3 linked regions of the Cricetulus griseus genome follow. The protein of the gene in region 3 purifies or fractionates together with the protein of the main gene of each other region. This does not show direct contact. Links are inferred from orthologs where the notes say so. Each region holds a gene or a part of one and is shown on either strand. Other genes may lie near its edges.

The links.
Region 1: the proteins of Rhod (region 3) and Plxnb2 purify together in Homo sapiens (affinity purification with mass spectrometry; 3 studies listed by BioGRID and IntAct, counting the BioPlex papers as one, with this or other methods). This does not show direct contact. The link is inferred for Cricetulus griseus from reciprocal best matches to the Homo sapiens genes RHOD and PLXNB2.
Region 2: the proteins of Rhod (region 3) and Daam1 purify together in Homo sapiens (affinity purification with mass spectrometry; 3 studies listed by BioGRID and IntAct, counting the BioPlex papers as one, with this or other methods). This does not show direct contact. The link is inferred for Cricetulus griseus from reciprocal best matches to the Homo sapiens genes RHOD and DAAM1.

The regions. Positions count from the first base shown.
Region 1 is NC_048595.1:385,931,704-385,937,861, forward strand, and holds the start of Plxnb2 (plexin-B2), read right to left. Parts: upstream 3,768-6,158; 5' UTR 3,623-3,767; intron 1-3,622.
Region 2 is NC_048598.1:131,429,852-131,434,408, forward strand, and holds part of Daam1 (disheveled-associated activator of morphogenesis 1), read right to left. Parts: intron 2,957-4,557; coding exon 2,786-2,956; intron 2,155-2,785; coding exon 1,945-2,154; 3' UTR 1-1,944. UniProt on the Homo sapiens protein: Binds to disheveled (Dvl) and Rho, and mediates Wnt-induced Dvl-Rho complex formation. May play a role as a scaffolding protein to recruit Rho-GDP and Rho-GEF, thereby enhancing Rho-GTP formation. Can direct nucleation and elongation of new actin filaments.
Region 3 is NC_048596.1:54,832,887-54,839,112, reverse strand, and holds the start of Rhod (rho-related GTP-binding protein RhoD), read right to left. Parts: upstream 3,502-6,226; 5' UTR 3,408-3,501; coding exon 3,276-3,407; intron 1-3,275. UniProt on the Homo sapiens protein: Involved in endosome dynamics. May coordinate membrane transport with the function of the cytoskeleton. Involved in the internalization and trafficking of activated tyrosine kinase receptors such as PDGFRB.

The sequences.
Region 1 (6,158 bases), on a different chromosome or scaffold from region 3:
CCTCTTCTTAAGGCCTGGAGCCAGGACCTAGGTGATACCAGAATGGGGAACTTCTGGGTTTCAGAAGTCCAGGGAGCTGAGGAAGAAAGAGGGTGTGGGCAACAAGCCCAGCCCTGCCCCTAGGCACAGTGTCCCAATCCGGTTAAGCCCCTTCTGTGTGTAGTCCACTGGGACCCCAGGCAGCTCAGGTGTGAACTCAGCAGTCCATGGGGACACCCCAGGGAAGGCTGCCAGCCATGAGGGAGGCAAGGAGCCAGGCTGGGGGAGGGGACACTGGGCTGCAGAGGCGGGATCAGAGAGTGACAAAAGACAGGAAATAGTGCTACCAGCTCCAAGTCTGGACCAGCTTGGGATCTTCCCGGTGGCAAGATTGTTACTGTGAGATGGTTCAGATCTGCTCCAAGGGGAGTTCACCATCCTTGACCACCTGGGAGTTGAATCCAATCACGGTCACAGGTTAACGAATTTTAGAGTAAGGAGGGCCCCTCTAGAGTTGGGGTACAGGAAGGATAGCAGAGGCCTTTCCTATCCTTTCAGATGCTCTAATGAGGTAGAAGAGTCAGAGGCAGCACCTGTAGTCAAGAGTTCAGGACAGGGCAGAGTCCATGCTATGTCAACAGAGGAGAGCAGGAGGCTCACACAGCTGGGGGTAGGGAGCAGTAGCTGCCTGGGGAAGTGAAACCTAGAAGAGCATGAAAGAGTAGTCACATGAGGTCTGGAAAGCCAAGAGCTGGGGCAGCTGCCCCTGATACCCTATTCCAACCCCCCCCACACACACACACAACACACACATACACACACACTTCAGCCCTTCCCAGACTATAATTAGTCAGAATCCAGCTCCACCCTACCCACAACCCCACCCTAAACACAAACAGCCATTAGCCCTAGGAGAGGGGCTCTACCCAGCCCCTACCCCTATCTAACCACCCAATGGCTTGGCACAGAAGGGCAGTGAGGCTAATAGAGGCAGCCTCAGCCTCATCCACAGGTTCTCCAGAGCCTTGACTACCAGGCCTTGGTTGGAGTTCTAACTAACTTACCTTCTTTCCCTCACCAAGCCAGTTCTTTTACAAGAGGCCCTCAACAGAGACAAAAAGCTTACTCCCCGAATATCAAGAGCAAGGCAGGGAACAGGAAACAGCAAGAGGAATAGGAGGACATAAGCAAGGAGTGCCTGGCTGCAGGGTGACAGCCCTTTGTGGCAGAGAGGTATGTAAGGGATAGCCGACAAGCAAGGGATAGTGCTTGCTAGAAGATCCTTCCACCAGTGACCCTTGCCTATGTCCAATATCCCTGAGGAACCATTAGCACTAACCATCAGGAGAGGTACCAGGCAGTGGACAGGACATTAGATGTATGTTCTAGAATAGCTAAGGATCTGGTAGGGGGGACATGTGCCATATGGACACCTCCGTAGGCTGTCAGCCCAGCTCAACCCAATCCCTTCCAATTCAATCTCTTCTGCTCCACTAGCAGGGGCCAGGGCCAAGTCCCTGGGCTTCCTGCCCTTGGGCATCAGCTGCTGGCTCTACTTCCCAATGTGGTCTCCATCCAGGCTCCTGGGCAGTCACAAGCCCCAGGAGCCAACTCAGGAACATCCCAATGGCTTCTTGTAGGGACCTTTATCTGCTCACCTGTGGGATGTCCTGACCAATATCACATTACTAATGAGGGGCGGAGCCGGGAGGCGGTGCAGCCCTTCATTGAACAGCTGGTCAGTGAGAAGACAGGTAGGTGGCCTAAGGTTTAGCTCCAGGAAGATGTGCTTCCTGATCTAAGTCATTGCCAGGAGTGGGACCCATCCCAGGTGTCCTTAAACATGGTTTTAGGGAGTGAACCGGGTCTTCCACATGGGTCTGAAGTACTTCCTGCCCCATGGGCTCTCTCAGAGGAGCCTGGGCATATTCCAGGCCGGGCAGGGCCTACAAAGAAGCCGACCTTGAGGACCTTCTCTAACCCAAGGTGACACATGCCCTCCTACCCCGCCCCTGACTGGTCTGAGCAGCCATGGGAGGGAGGTGGTAGAGCTGCCTGGACTTGCCAGCCCCGCCCTCCTGGGGCTCTCAACCCCGCCCTCCTGGGGTTCTCAACCCACGGCCCGGAAGTGGGTCCCTTCAGCCTCCCCTTCTGCTTCAACCTCCTCTTTGGGTAGCTGGAATTGCTGGACTCGGCTGGATAATCCAAAATAATTCCTCCTTGGCAGGCAGCCCGTGGGGGAAGGGGGACTCACATTCCAAACTCTTGTTTTTCTAAGTAACTTCCCTGAGTTCCTGGGGCTAGGAACCTCTGTCCCGTCCTCAGGCCTCCCCAACTCCATGGAAGGGTGTGAGACTAGGTACCCAAGGAACCGTGGTCTACCTGCTTATTTCTGTCTTCTCTAGCAATTTCGATACAACACAATAAGGTTTGGCACATTCCACAAAACACCTCACATGCTCGCCCTACTTTCGTAGGAACTTCACCTCCTGACCAAAGAGCGAGAACTCTTCCCACTGGTAGTCCAACTTTCTAATGGCATTCCCTACGTACCAGGGTAGCATCCGGGTGTAGGATCAGGCTGACAGCTCCCACCTTAAAGGTGTGCGTGGGCAGCCTGAGGAGTTCAGCTTTAAAGCCATCAATACAGACCGAAGATAGACATTAGAAGGGGCACTCCCCAAGGCAAATGAGGGCCCTCAGAGCCTCTGTTCCTCAGGACATTACACTCACTGACTTTGGGCCTGGCTTCAGCTCCAGTTCTGACCACCACCACCACCATAGTGGCCACTGGCCCACCTCTCTTCCTGCCTTCTCCAAGGAGCTAGAAAAAGGAGTTAAGTGACGTGGCCAGAAACTCTAGGATTCTTAAGATCGGAAACCCCCAGACCGGGAGACACTACCCATCCACACACAAATCTGCCACACAGCCTGACCAGAGGAACAGTATGGGCACATGCATGAGAGCTCCCTGCGGAAGGTATATAGAAGTAAAGGGCTAGATTGTGAAAATACCTCCCAAGTTCTAAGCCTTCTGTCCTAGGTGTCCCTCCAAATATCACACCAACGAACTACACTAGAAGCTGCGGAGACCTTGCTGGGAGGCGTGGGGCCTCACCAGGTACTACTGGGTGTTAGTTCTCTCTGTCCCTTGTTCCCTGTCCCAGAAGGTGTGGGGACTGCTGCGGTTGTGCACCCCTGGAAAAAAGCTCCAGCAGAGCCCGGCTCTGCGCAGGCTTAGCTTGAGAACTGGGGCCTGGAGGTCCGGCATAACAGGGATGACTCTCTCTGGTCCTTCGATTCGGCAGGCTAAGAGGTAGGGGCGCCAGCCGCGAGGGAGGGTTTGAAACTACACTGGGTAGAGTGCAGCTCCATTAGATCGCTGGGACCCGGCCAGTCAGGCCAGTCTCCCAACATCCCGGCGCGGAGGGCCTCGTCGCCAACCGGTGGGGCAGGAGCAGCCAGGCCCAGCCGGTTGGACAGACAGACACAGGGCAAAGACGCAGGCCCGCGTCGCCCACAGCGCAGCGGCACTGCCCTAGCACCCCCGCGTCCGGGTGCGCAAGCCGAGGCCGAGCGGCGCGGAGAGCGAAGCCTGGGCCTGCGCGACGCCCCCCGCAGTTCCCGTCCCCAAGTGCGGTACCTGCTCCTCCGCAGCCGTCGCTCGATGGCGCCGGGGCCGCGCTCTGCGTTGCGCTCTGGCCCGCGCGGCTGCCATGGAGACGGGCCTTTGTGTGGCCGAGGAGGGGCCGGAGCGCGCGGGAGCCGCCGGCCCCGCCCCCGCCAGGGGAGAAGGAGGGCGGGGAGGACAGGGGCGGGTGAGAGGGAGGGACGAGACTAAGGGATAGAGGATAGCCGACCGAGGGTAGGAGGGGCAGCTGGCGTCCCTAGCGTACCCCGCGTTTCCCCCTGCTCAGAGCCACTTAAGCACACTGCTTTGCTTGGATGTTCGCTCCCTGTAGCAATCCGCGCGCCCTGCCTGCTGCAGTCGCGTCTCCCCCCACCCCCATCGCCCCGTCATCAGAGGAGTTCGCTGAGGCTGGGCACCACCCCGGGAGTGCCTCAGGCCGAAGTGAATTGGTGCACGCGGCCCGGCACTGGTGGGTGGCTTCGGCTGGGCCAGACCGAGGCCTTAAGTGTTCCTCTTGGAGATGGGCGGGGCGCAAGGAACCTCGCCACCAGATTGGCAACAGGGGGACCACGCTCGTGTCCTTCCCGAGGGTGATTCTTTCTCCGGGATTCTAGCCGCTCAGTCTCCTGCAGAATAGCTGGAACTCTGCTCTCATTGCCCTCCTTCCTGGTCCCCTGGCCCATCATATCTGGGCCTTAGCGACCCCCAAGTCTTCATCTATTGGGTAGGACAGAACTACTCCCTAGAGTTCCTACTTCTTTCTGATCTCCAAGTCACCCATGCTGTGGCCCCATGGATTTGTAACTTGGCGATGACCCCACTGTCGCAGAACAGGGTTTGGGACTAGTTTGCATAGCTCAGCTCGTGTCTACCCTGCAGTATCTATCGCCTCCACCCAAAATTGCCCTCCTTGAAGACTGCCTACTTCCTATTTCCTTAGGCATCTCCTCCCCAACTTTGGGGATCCACCCCAATTCTTAAGCCTTCCCCAGCAAAAGACTACAAATCTGAGGGTTTTGCCGGTTGTGTAAGCAAGACTGACTTGCCCCATCGCCAAGCAGCTAGGCTTTATCATATTACCTTCTTCCCTCCAACAACAGTTTCCCCCCCCCCCACATACACACACATACCAAGGGACTTCAAAATATCTAGTAATTTGCAGGGCTGCAAAATCTGTATCAAAAAAAAAATAAGTATTTTACCACAAAAAGATATTTTAATACCAAAGTTGTGGGAAGGCCAGTATTCCAAACTGAGTGGGGCTCAAAATAGAAGGCAGGAAGCTGGAGGGTAAAAGATCCCTCCTGTTCTTCCGGTCTTGTCCCTGGGGCTGGCTGCCTCATGACCTCCACCCAGCCCTCCTAGATCCCTTGAATGCTGGCTCACAGCTCTCTCCAATATGCCACACAAGGGAGCCCTGGGGATCACTGCATCTTGGATTTTTTTTTTTTTTTTTCACTATCCAGGCATCTTAACCATGAGGGCCCTTGGGCTTGGGGGGAGGGAAGCACTTCCTTGAAGCCATCTGTCTTCTCTCCAGGCCCTGCCCTGGGCATGGACTTGAAGTCTTTAACCTACTCTGGACAGAAACCCCCACTAACTCAGCTGATCCCATCCTGGGAGAGCTAGAGTAGAAGAGGATGTAGCTGGTAGGAGGCCCCAGGCTGTAAACTCTACCCAGTAGCCAGGACAAGCACCTAAAAGGAGATGGTACTTTTTCCTCATTCCTATATGCCTTGGGTCTATGCCCTAGGAAGTACTGTTGTGAACACACACGCCACATAACCCCTAAATCTGTTTCTGAGTCCCATGTCCAGTGTTCTGAGAATGACTGATTGCTAGGACAGAAGCTAATTAGTCCCAGGTGGATGGTGTCGGAGGTCCATGGGAGCCACTATGAAGCTTACTGTATGACAGCCCCCAGAAAGTGAAGGGAAAACACAACACATTGCAGTGGCATTTGAGATGTGCTCTTTAGAGTGAGACCAATAAGACCTGGGAGCTTCAGACCTTGCCACTCTATACTTGGATATGAGGCTGGGCACACCAAAGGCACAGTTTCAGACTCCAAATGGCTAGCACTGTGCTGTCCCCATAGCCTGGAAGCTCCATCTGTCACAGTGGAAGATGCCATATTTCTGAAGATCCCTTAGAGACCAGGCTTTTGGTGGTGAGGCTGGCACCTCTGTTTCAGGAGGTGCCAGGGCCACTCTTCCTAATGCCAAGGACTCAACCTCCACCTGCTCTGCTCAGTTTTCTAACAGGACACTGAGAATGATTTAGCTCACTGTACACCTTCATCACATCTATCTTGTCTATTTCCTTGCCTGTAAAATGCATACAACGTGACAAACTGTTATAGCCTGAGGTCATAGGGGTAAGGGAGAAACAAAGATCTAGGAACAGGCCTGGCACCTGTGTACAATGGACAGCCTTTGTTACATCTGGACTTAGCCAGAATCAGTGGGGAAGGGCAAGGCAATACATACTTGAGGGTTTGATCAAAGGAATCCGAAGAACCCAGAGGGTTATAGTCATGTTACAGGAG
Region 2 (4,557 bases), on a different chromosome or scaffold from region 3:
TCCCATCCTCCTCCCTCCAAGCTCGCTGAGCTATGTCTCCATAAGCAGCACCGCGGCCATGGTGTGCTTGCAGACACTGTAGCTTGGGGCCAGGAGTCAGCTCTGCTTTGTACCTGTGGCTGCTTTATTGGAGAGCCATTTACTTCCATATAATGGGTAGAAAGTCGCTATGTTTTCAATGAAGAAAAACAAAGGGTAAAAAACCACAGCTCTCGACAATTCTTAGAGCACTGTTTCACAGTTTTTACACAGCACAGATCCCTTGCCATCTGCACTAAGCATTATAGTTCATACAGATTATTTTTAAATAGCTATGATTCCTTGTATACTATGCACACTGGCATTCTATTGTCCCTGAAAACCCTATTAAAGTGTGAACTCCTTGGCGGGCAGGGACTCTGTCTTGCTTACCACTATAGCTCTACTATGCCTGGTACATAGTAAGTGCTTAATAAATATTTGATACTTGACTGAAAAACTCAATTTAGTGAGTAAATAATATTCTAGTGCAATAGGAAAAACTACTCTTTCCACAGGAAACCCAACCACAAAAGGATAGATGGAAAACAGAAAACACTAGTCCCTCCCCACACCCAAGTACAAATAAATAAAGCAAAAGGAAAAAAAATAGTAACAGTCCTTTTTACATACCATATAATTTAAGGATACTAAGAGTTGGCAGGTCAGTGGTAAGCATCTATATTTTATTTTCTAATGTTCATTGTTTCATCATTTCTCCCTGAGAGCTTTGTTTTGTTTTTTTTTTTTTTGTTTTTTGTTTTTTGTTTTTTTTTTGGACTGAAGATGTACAGGTAGCTTCACTGACACACAATTTAAAATGACAACACTTAACAGCAATCGCTTCAAATATCCTTTGAGATAAATAGATCTGAGCATCCCTGTAGATACTGTTGACATTTTGTGTCACTGTGAGTGTCCTTTATCCCAAGATATGCAGCATGGCCTACACAGGAAACAGAAGACACCCCAAAAGCACCCCATATGCCTTTAAAAAGAATCTTCAGGGAGTTCTTTCTTCCACTGAGTCTTCGGTGGGAAATTTCATTGTCCAGGTTTACAAATCTGTATTGTTAGGTCAACAACAAGGTTCTGGAAATCCTGGCCTTTAACCAGGATGTAGGTGACATTATTTAGAAACCATGTTTTCAAAAAAAAAAAAAAAAAGAAAAGAAAGAAAAAGAAAATAAATCACCAAGAGATGAAATTAGGGGAGAAAACCTGGTGTTCAAGTTTCAAATATACAAAAGAATTGTGACTGATGTTCTACATGGTATGAATGTGTGCAAGATGCTCTCAACAGACATCTGTAGACTGAAACCCAACAGCAGCATCGGGAACTTGAAGCTGTTCTTCCAAGTTAGTCAGTGATGCAGGCAGCAGTGCCCGACTGGAACCACCAAACTCATCCAGATCTGTATTTTCCAACTCCAATTCTACCAGTAAAAACTGTCTCACTACACTAACTCTGGGAACCATAAAATACTCCACAAGACACACCTTTTTTAAAAAACATCCTGTTTTCTTCTTTTCTTCCTTCTCTTTTTTTTTTTTTTTGTTTTGTTTTGTTTTTAATGTTAAGGAATGTCTGTTACCTGTTTCGGGAGGGAGAATTGTGCTTCTGAACATTCATGGTGTTCAGGGAAAGAAAATGAGCCCCACTCGACATGAATGCATACACAGAGAGTTTCTGAGCACACACATTAACATAAACTTTTGAAGCATACACATAGGTCCCTGGACAACACTCAGACGTCTATATACATTTTCACATATATACACATACATTTACACACACACATTCACACCTTCACTCACAGGTGAGAGAAGAAATTGCCACTGTTTTGATTGCAAGGCAGTGTAATGAAAAGTTCTAGTCAGGCCAAAGGGCTGCTACTGCGCTTTCTAGAAAAGGATGCAAGAAAATTAAAAATTCAGTTTTGTGATTGGTCGCTCCCGGCTACCATCCGTCACCTGGTTGGAAATGCGTTTGCGGTTCCGTTTGAGTTTGGAAAGGTCTTTGTCAAACACTTCTCCTGAGCGTAAAGCTGAGACCAGATCGTCAAACTCTCCGCTTTCTTCACTGTTCTCCTTGGCCTTCCTCATCTTGCGCTCCCTTTCCCGTTGTTCTTTGAGCTGCACATAGAGAGAATCCTTTTAGGATTAAGGTGTATTTTGTTTTCAGCACAGAAGAATTCTGTGCCCTGCGGTAGGGAGTGAATCTCTTTCTTACATGCAGCCATGTATCTATCAGCTGTGGCTGCTAACCTGTGTGGGTAATGTAAAGGCTAACTGAAAAATCAATGGACAGTGAAGGTAAGTTTCATTACATTCTCTCTCTCTCTTTCTGCATTTGAGGGAGTTAACACAGGTAATTTAGGGCTCTTACAAAGAATGCTAATGTCCTTTTGGAAACTTATAATTGTTTCTTGAAGGTAATTTCTAAGGAGCTCCACTCGTGGGATGTGGACAGGATTTTTCAGTCTTTGGAGAGAAACTCCCAAATCGCTCAAGAGAAACGTGGTATGGATCTAAGCTATCTGAGTCACTCTAGAATGCATGGTTCTCCCCTCCTTGACAGTGCAGCACAGTGCTCTGGAAATAAAGGGCCTGGCTCTGGGCCATACATACCTGGGTGCTGGAGTACCTGTCTATCATGTGGCCCTGGTTTGGTCCCCAGTACCACAGAAGGGAAAGACTGAATCACAGAAACTGGAGGGCTGCAGCGAGGGGTCCAGGAGGACCTGCTGGGTGAGTCTCCTCTTACCTGAGCTTCCATGCGAGCCCGCCTCTCTTCCTCCTCTTTCCTTTTCCTCATGTTCTCATTCTCCTGTTTCGCTTCTGCCACAGCTTGAAGAAACTGGTCAAATATCCCAAAGAACTCATCTGGCTGTATTTTGCCAGCCTCTTCCCCAAAGTGCTTCACTGCTTTAGTGAACTGGAGAAAAAAATTTAAAAAAAAAAAAAAAGAAGAAGAAGAAGAAGAAGACCTCAGTGTTTCAAAAGAACTGACTCCACAGTCAAAATGAATTCTCCCTAGAAGGCTGAAAGCTCAAATATAACTGAAGGATTTTAGCAGCCCATTGTTTCTCTTCAGCCACTGAACACACCTACTCATCATTTGCAAAGCTGGAAACTGAATACTCCCCAACTTCTGAAGCCATTGTATCCTGTCCATTTCATTTCAGCGTAACATCTATGGTTTCCACATACAACACTGTCTTAACTAAACAACAGTAAACACAAGAAGGCAAAATACTGCAGGACAGGACACCGGAGACCCAGAGACTAAAAGCAAGCACAGCAGGGGTCGGAAACCTTGTACTTTAAGCTTTCCTTTGAAGTAGTTTAATACCATTTATTGGGGCCATATGGTGAATATGAAAAACAAATGGGACCCAGGACTTCCCAGCTGCTTTTTCCTATCCATAAATAATGCTAATGTTGTCTTTAGGCTGCCCCAGCTCTAATTAGGAAAGAATAACTGACTGTGGAGTCATTAATGGCATCCAAAGTTTCTGATTGAGATTACTTTAGGCCAATCCTACAATGTTCTCAGAAATTCGTTTAATGTCTCTTTCTAAAGCTGACAAATACAAAGTTAGGGATAATTTAAAAAATTTAAACAAAATGTAAAGTAACAAAACAGTATGTGCAGTTTCTTTTCAAACCTCTTAACTGTTTCTGTCTTTTGTTCTCAGAGGGCTTTCCTTAGTAACTTGGAGAGTTTGCTATCCCAAGTCTCAGCATCACCTGGACTACCCCAGGACAGTGCCATTACTGTCAGCACTGAGCTCCTGTGGTGGGAAGGGCCCAGGGCTGCTGGCCCTGTGCAGCCCAGCTTAGAGACCAGGCTTCGTACTCAACTGAATTCTCTTTCCTGTGCTACTCAACTACATTCTGATCAGACCTTATTCAGATCACAGCAATTCCATGGTTTCTAATTGGCTTGATTTTTCTTGCATTATTGTTAAAGCTTCTGATATTTTAGTAATATTATGCATGTTTTCAATGTTCTTATAGATAACAATTTTGACTGATATGCATATTTGTACATATTTCATAATAATTTTATTATTTTAAATTTAGTTATCATGTGTATATATGTGTAAGTGTGCAGGTGCATGCGTGCCATGTGGAGGTCAGAGGGCAACTTTTAGAGTCACTTCTCTTCTCCTGGTGGGAGGTCATCAGGCCATCAGGATTGCATGCAAAGTGGTTTCACTCACTAAAGCATCTCACTGGCCCTCCTATTTTAAAATATATTTTCTTCCATTTCTCTTAATGTGGAGCTGTTCTCAATGTTTTACTTATTTGGAAATATTCTATTACAAAACAGAACTCTTTAGAGAAAAACATAACATTCTTCATGCACCACATTAGAGTAGTCTAGCTTGATTCATGGTTTTATAAGCTTATTTCTAAAAGTTCTGGAATGAACAAAACAGCAATAAACGGTCTACAGCTGAGCTCCTAAAATATTCAAGTTCATGCACTTTAAGCCATCATGGATGATCTTTTTATCTAGGAATTCTAGTG
Region 3 (6,226 bases):
AGAGAGTGTGAGGACAACACTGGCTTTGAGGTCAGATGAGCCTGGTTTAGGACCCAGCTCTGACAGCCACTAGTTAGTTGTGTGTGGCCTTGGGCCTGCACCATCACTGGTTAAGAGAAAAAGTGTCACCACGGGACTGCAAAGGGAAGACCTGTTGCAGCATGGATGGTCACTAATTACCTGGTTCTCAGTATCCATACCACCCCTATCCATCCTCTGTATTCCCTTTCACATCCCAAATTGTAGCCTCTGGCCTCCACCCTAGAGCAAGAACCTGTCACTGTGGAGAAACTGATCTTCTGCATCTGAGACCCTCATGTGGTTACCTACATGCCAGTTGAGGGGCTCTCCTGATCCGAGCTTCAGGATGTGGGATGACCCATAACAAAGCTCTTGGGAGACAGGCCAGTGCTTCACGAGTCTGTGAAGATGGCCTCAGCCCACTGCTCCCTAAGGCTCTTCTCCTGGACTCCTACAACCTTAGCAGACTTTCAGAGGCTCTGAGGAAAGTGATTTGCCTAGGGCCATGCACTAGCTGGGCTAGGCAGAAGCTGAGCCAGTGCTGTTGGTTTTTAGGGGCTACACCAGCCACTTTCCTCTTCTGAGGTCATCAATATTTGCTTCTGACATCATACAGACCAGATGTGAGCTGGAAGGGGCTGTGTTACCTCCTCACTGAGAAGAGTCACTGCCCCACCCCTTGTTTTGGAATGTGACTTTATCTATACCTTTTGAGCTGTTCTTTGACCCCCTAGGCAGAAGTGCTTAATCTTATCTGTTCAGTTTTGTTCAGTCAGAGACACAAGGGCTGGCCTAGGTTGACCCAGGATGGAGATGACTCAGCCCTGGGCCTGCCCTCCTGGGGTTCACAGACAGGTGACCATAACAGAATGAGGAGAGGGTTCCCCAGGTAAGATGCCTATGGAAACTGGAGCAGTCTGAAAAGACTTTGGACTTGGCTGGCTCTGCAGGCTGGGTCTCTCTCCAATCTCCTGGCCCAGTCTTGTAGGCTACAATGGCAGCTGAGACTTTTTGGGGACTGATGTCTCTCCATGCCTCATAAGCTCTATTTTGCCCCCTCTGCCTTGAACTTGAAGTTGGGTTACAGCCTGTGAAGGTCACAGAGGCTGCTCCACATTCCCAGCGTGCTCTCTTCTCTGCCCTTTGCTGCAATCAGAAAGCCTCAAGACTACCGGACCCTAAGCCTCCAGGCTGCTGGCTCCTTGGGCTTTTAGGGCTGCCTGAGGCAGAACAGGCTGAAACTGGTCAACAGACAACAGTAGTGACTTCAGAGGTCATAGAGTGCCCTGGGGAGGGCAAGATGGTCTGAGCTGGGAAGTGGAGGAAAGATTAGGAGGCATCAGTGGCTACACATTGAATCTGAGGTCAGCATGGACTCCTTGAGACCTTGTCTCAAAACAAACAAAACCCAGCACTGGGAGGCAGAGGCAGGTGATTGTCTGAGTTAGAGGCTAGTCTGATCTGCAGATGGGAATTCCTTGATAGCCAGGTCTACATACACAGAGAAACCCTGTCTCAGATAAACAAAATAACAACCAGATGTGGTAATGTTACATATCTATAATCCTAGCACTACAGTGGCAGGAGTATTTGAGATGAACCTAGGATACAAATGGAGACTTTGTCTCAAAAACAAAACTAGCTTGATAACTAACTAAAAAGAGCTCTCTCTCTCTCTCTCTCTCTCTCTCTCTCTCTCTCTCTCTCTCTCTCTCTCTCTCTCTCATGTCAGGGAACTCCCAGACAAAGGGAGAAAAAGGACAAGGTTGGTCCAGCCCCCTGGTGACTACTCTCACTCCAAGGTGTCCTGTAAAACATACATAGTTCATGGACTGAAAGGTGTTTCTATATGAAAATAGTACGGCCCCTGCGGTCAATGTCACCATCTAGAATGTCTGATGCAGGACAATGATGCTGAGCCCTCTGCCTCTGTCTCTAAGTGCCTTCCTCTGATCCTCAGCTGCCACAACAGTCAGGTTTCCGTGAGCAGCACCTAGAGACCTGGAAACTATCTCTTCAACTTCAAAAAATTGTGTAACTGGTCAAAGGAGGTGACGTCAATTTTGCAAACCACAAATCCAAAGGCTCTGAGCTGGGTATGGTGGCACATACATGTAATCCCAGCAACCCTCAGGGTGAGAGAGCTGAGGATGGAGCATTCAAAGCCTACACAGTAACATCCTGTCTCAAAAACAAAACGGAAACCACTAAGGTCCAAAAACATAAAAACCAATAGCTCACTGGTGTAGAGTGGCAAGCAAGCCCTGGCACCGTTTGCCAGACCAGCTTCTCCAACTCCTCCATTACACTGCCCAGCTCTGCGCAATCCCAGAGGCTGGAAGGATGCAGGGATAGGAAAGGAAAAAGACGTGCTGCTGGAGGCAAACTCAGGAGCACCTAGAAATCCCACTCCTCATGGAGGCATAGAAAGTGGGCTCAGCCACTGTTCTGGTCACTGGCCCTGCTGAACTGCCTGGAGAGCCTGTCCTGGAGGACCCACAGTCACAAGCCCAGAGAGGCAGGCTATACCAGGTACTGCACTGAGTGTCCATCAGCCTTCTGCCTCACCTTCCTTACTCCCTTCCCTCCCGTGAGGTTGCTTTGAGAAACCGAGGCTTAGAGTCAAAGCAAATCATAAGTCGAACAGGGCTCTTTAGAGAAGGTCTATGTTCCCCATTTTCCTCTCTATGGTAAAGAATGGGATTTGCACCATAGTGGCCAGGGTCGGAGAAGAACTGTACCTCCCAAGGGGCATCATTTATCAACTTTCAGTTGAGTCCTTCTCGCATGCAGACTTGGAGCTGAGCTCTTGACCCCTATCGGCTCGCTCTTGTATAAACTCAGGAGGGGACTGCTAGTCCTATCATGCAGTTAAAGAAACAGGCACAGAGAGGGTAAGGGACTTGCCCAAAGGCACACAGCTGTAAGAGGCAAAGGCTTGGTTTGACGCTGCCAGTCTGGCTCCAAAGTCCTCACTCTCTTAGCCAAGTTGTGACACCAACTGCTCTCTTAGGATTTGCTGTTTCCCCAAGTGGCCTAATTCAGTTCCTGTGACACCCCTCCCCCTAAATGCCATTAGTCTCACTTCGATCCTACTGGCTACTTCTGAAAAACTCTGCCTTCGACCCCAGGCTCTGTTGGGAACCCCCAGGAGGCTGGAATTGGGTATTTCCAGGCAGTTCTCGGCAGACCCACCCGCACACTGGTGCGTTCCAGCGCGGGGACTGCGCAAGGCCAAGGGTGAGGGCACTCACCTCTGGGAAGGCCCCGTCGGCGAAGACCATCATCAGCGATGTCTTCCCGCAGCCCCCGTCGCCCACCAGGACCACTTTGACCGAGCACCCGCTTAGCGGCGCCTCCTCTCCCGCAGCCTGGGCCGCCTTCATCCCGGGCGGGCGAGCGGGCGGGCGAGCGGACAGCCGTGCGCAGAGCAGCGGGTGGTGCGCGGCGGGCTGGCGGCGGCGGGCGCGGGGCTGGCTCGGCGGGACAGGAATGTGGAAGGGGCGGGGCGGCGGGAGGAAGTGGGAGCGGCAGGAGGCGGCCCGGGGGGCGGGGGGACACCCAGCTCAGGTGAGAGGCTCTGACCAGGATCGGGGTGCGGCGGCCAGCCAGGCGTGCAGCGCTCCTGGGGTACGGTCTCCTGGCGTCCTATCTGGCCTTTCAAGAAACACTTTCGGAGCATCGACTGTGCGCAGTCATTAAGGCCACAGGGGTGGGCGGAGACCTATGCCTCAGAGGGCACCTAGGGCTCCTGGGAGAAAAAACAAACAAACAAGTAAACAGGTAGTTGGAGAGGAGTTGAGGACAGGGAGGGAAGAAGCACCTGGCCTGGCCCATCGCCATGGGAGGGAGGTGATCTTTTATGAATGAATGAATGAATGAGTGAATGAATGAATGAATGAATGAGAGTTTCTGTGCTTGGGGACCTAACAATCCAGGCTTCCTTCAAATGTAGGTCAGGTGAGAAGGGAGTAGCCCGGGCATGCCCTCGTGGGTCCCTGCAGGACCTCTTTGGTCAGCACCAGCAATCTTCAATGAAGGTGAATTACTACCTCTTTCACCCAGGCAGGCAGTGATCTAGGGAAAACTGTGGAAACTTCCATCTATGGAGCTCGTATCAGGCTGTGGCATGTGGCTGATGCCATGAGTGGTTCTTAGTATAATACTTTTAAATGTTATTTTTTTTGTGTATGGGTGTTTTATCTGCATGTATGTCTGTGCACCACGTACTTGGTGCCCACTGCCCTCCGAAGGCTTGGAACTGGAATTACAGACAGTTATGAACCACCACATGGGTGAACCTGGGTTCTCTGGAATAGCAGCCAATGCTCTTAACCTCTAGGCCATCTAGCCAGCTCCTTGGTATAATATTTAATCAACACAGATGGTCCTTAGTTTCCAAGAGTCTGGGGGCTGGACGGTGGTGGCGCATGCGTTTAATCCCAGCACTCAGGAGGCATAGGCAAGTGGATCTCTGAGTTCCAGGCCTGCCTGGTCTACAGAGTGAGTTCCAGGACAGCCAGAGATACAGAGAAACCCTGTCTTGAAAAAAAACAAAAAACAAAAAACAAAAAAAACTAAACTAAACAAAAAGTCTGGAGCTCCTGCACTGTTTAAGTCAAAACCTCTACTATAAGAAGCCCAGAATGGGAGACATCAGTGTGAGAAGAACTACCTGAGGCAAGAGGACAGGAGAAAGACAAATGGACGCCTCACCTGGGGTAGACAAGGAGGACCTTTCTCACGGGAGAAGAGGAATCTTGAAGAAAAAGTTGCAGGTGTTTCAAAGAGAACATCAAAGAGGCTGGCATAAGGTAGCCATGCCCCCACCTTCCCATTGCTGGGATAGAGGGCGGGGTTTGGCTGAGGAGCTGGTATCTGGATGGTGGAGCATTTTGGATTTCATAAATAAATCTAATATTGAACTGGAAACTTACTGATATTTATATTGGGCATAAGTAGGCTGGGAATGTAGCACTTTTGCTAGAATGCTTAACTAGCACGCATGAAAGCCTGGATTCCATCCTCAGTACCACAAAAGCTGAGCTTGGATGTGCATGCTTGAAATTCCAGTACTGGTGAGGTTTAGGCAGGAGGATCAGAAGTTCAGTCAATGTCAGCTTGTCTATACAGAAAGTTTAAGGATAGCTTGGGCTGGATGTCCTGTCTAAAAAAGTGGGGAGAAGGGTCTCCTTGTCTCCCCAGACCTTGGGCTGGATGTTTACATGGAAGCTAAGTAGAACAGAGTCAGAAGTCTTTGGGTTTCATCTCCCACCCCCACACTGGTCATGACGTCACCCCCTATGGTATTCAAAATCAGGTGAAAAGAACCTTCAGCCCTACTTGATCCTCATTGTGTCCCAAGGAGGCAGTTTCCAGTTTCCCTCAGGGCGGTGGCCAGAGGTCAACTGCATAGAGGGAACCTCCCCAGGACAGCTCCACCTTTTGGATGCCCCTTCCCCGAAACTGCCCCAGGGCTGGGCAGGACATGTCAGGAGGCTGGGTGTGTAGCTGAGCAGGATGCCCCATCTAAGGAGTGGTGAGGAGGGGCCCTGTTCCCCCCATTCCAGTCAGCTGTCAGCCTAGTCATCCCCGCTGCTGCTGCTGCTGCTGCTGCTGCTGTCACCAGGCCAGCCTGGCGGGCAGGTGGAGCCGGACCAAGGGTGGAGGAAGCTGAGAGTCAGGCAGAGGCAGTTGGCCTTTGTTGCTGTAGGGATAATCACTCTAATGACACACTTGGCAACTGTCACACTTTACAGTTTCTCTGTCTACCTCCTAATAATACCACCACCCACCGACGGTGGTAGTTGCTATTCAGAGACTGTCCACTAGGAGGCACGGGTTGCTAGCTCCATTCTACAGAGGTGGAAACTGAGGCCTAGAGAGCGTACCTTCTTGTTTAAGCTCCAATGATAGTTAAGAGGCCAATGGCAGCACATGGACCCAGGTAAGACGCTAAAGCTGCCCCCAGATATTATTTCTTGTGCGTTATTGCTCTCAGTTCTCACACTGTGAGGTAGGCTCAGTGGATGGTCCTACTTCTTATTTTGCAGACTTGAGGACTGAACCCCAGGGGGAGGCTGCTGTTTAGATTAAGCCACTAAGACCCAGAGCCAGGACTTGGTCGTCCCCACATCCGCCCCAGCCTCATCAACACTCCATGCTCAGGCTCCTGCAAGAGGCCTATCAGTCAGTCATTGACCCA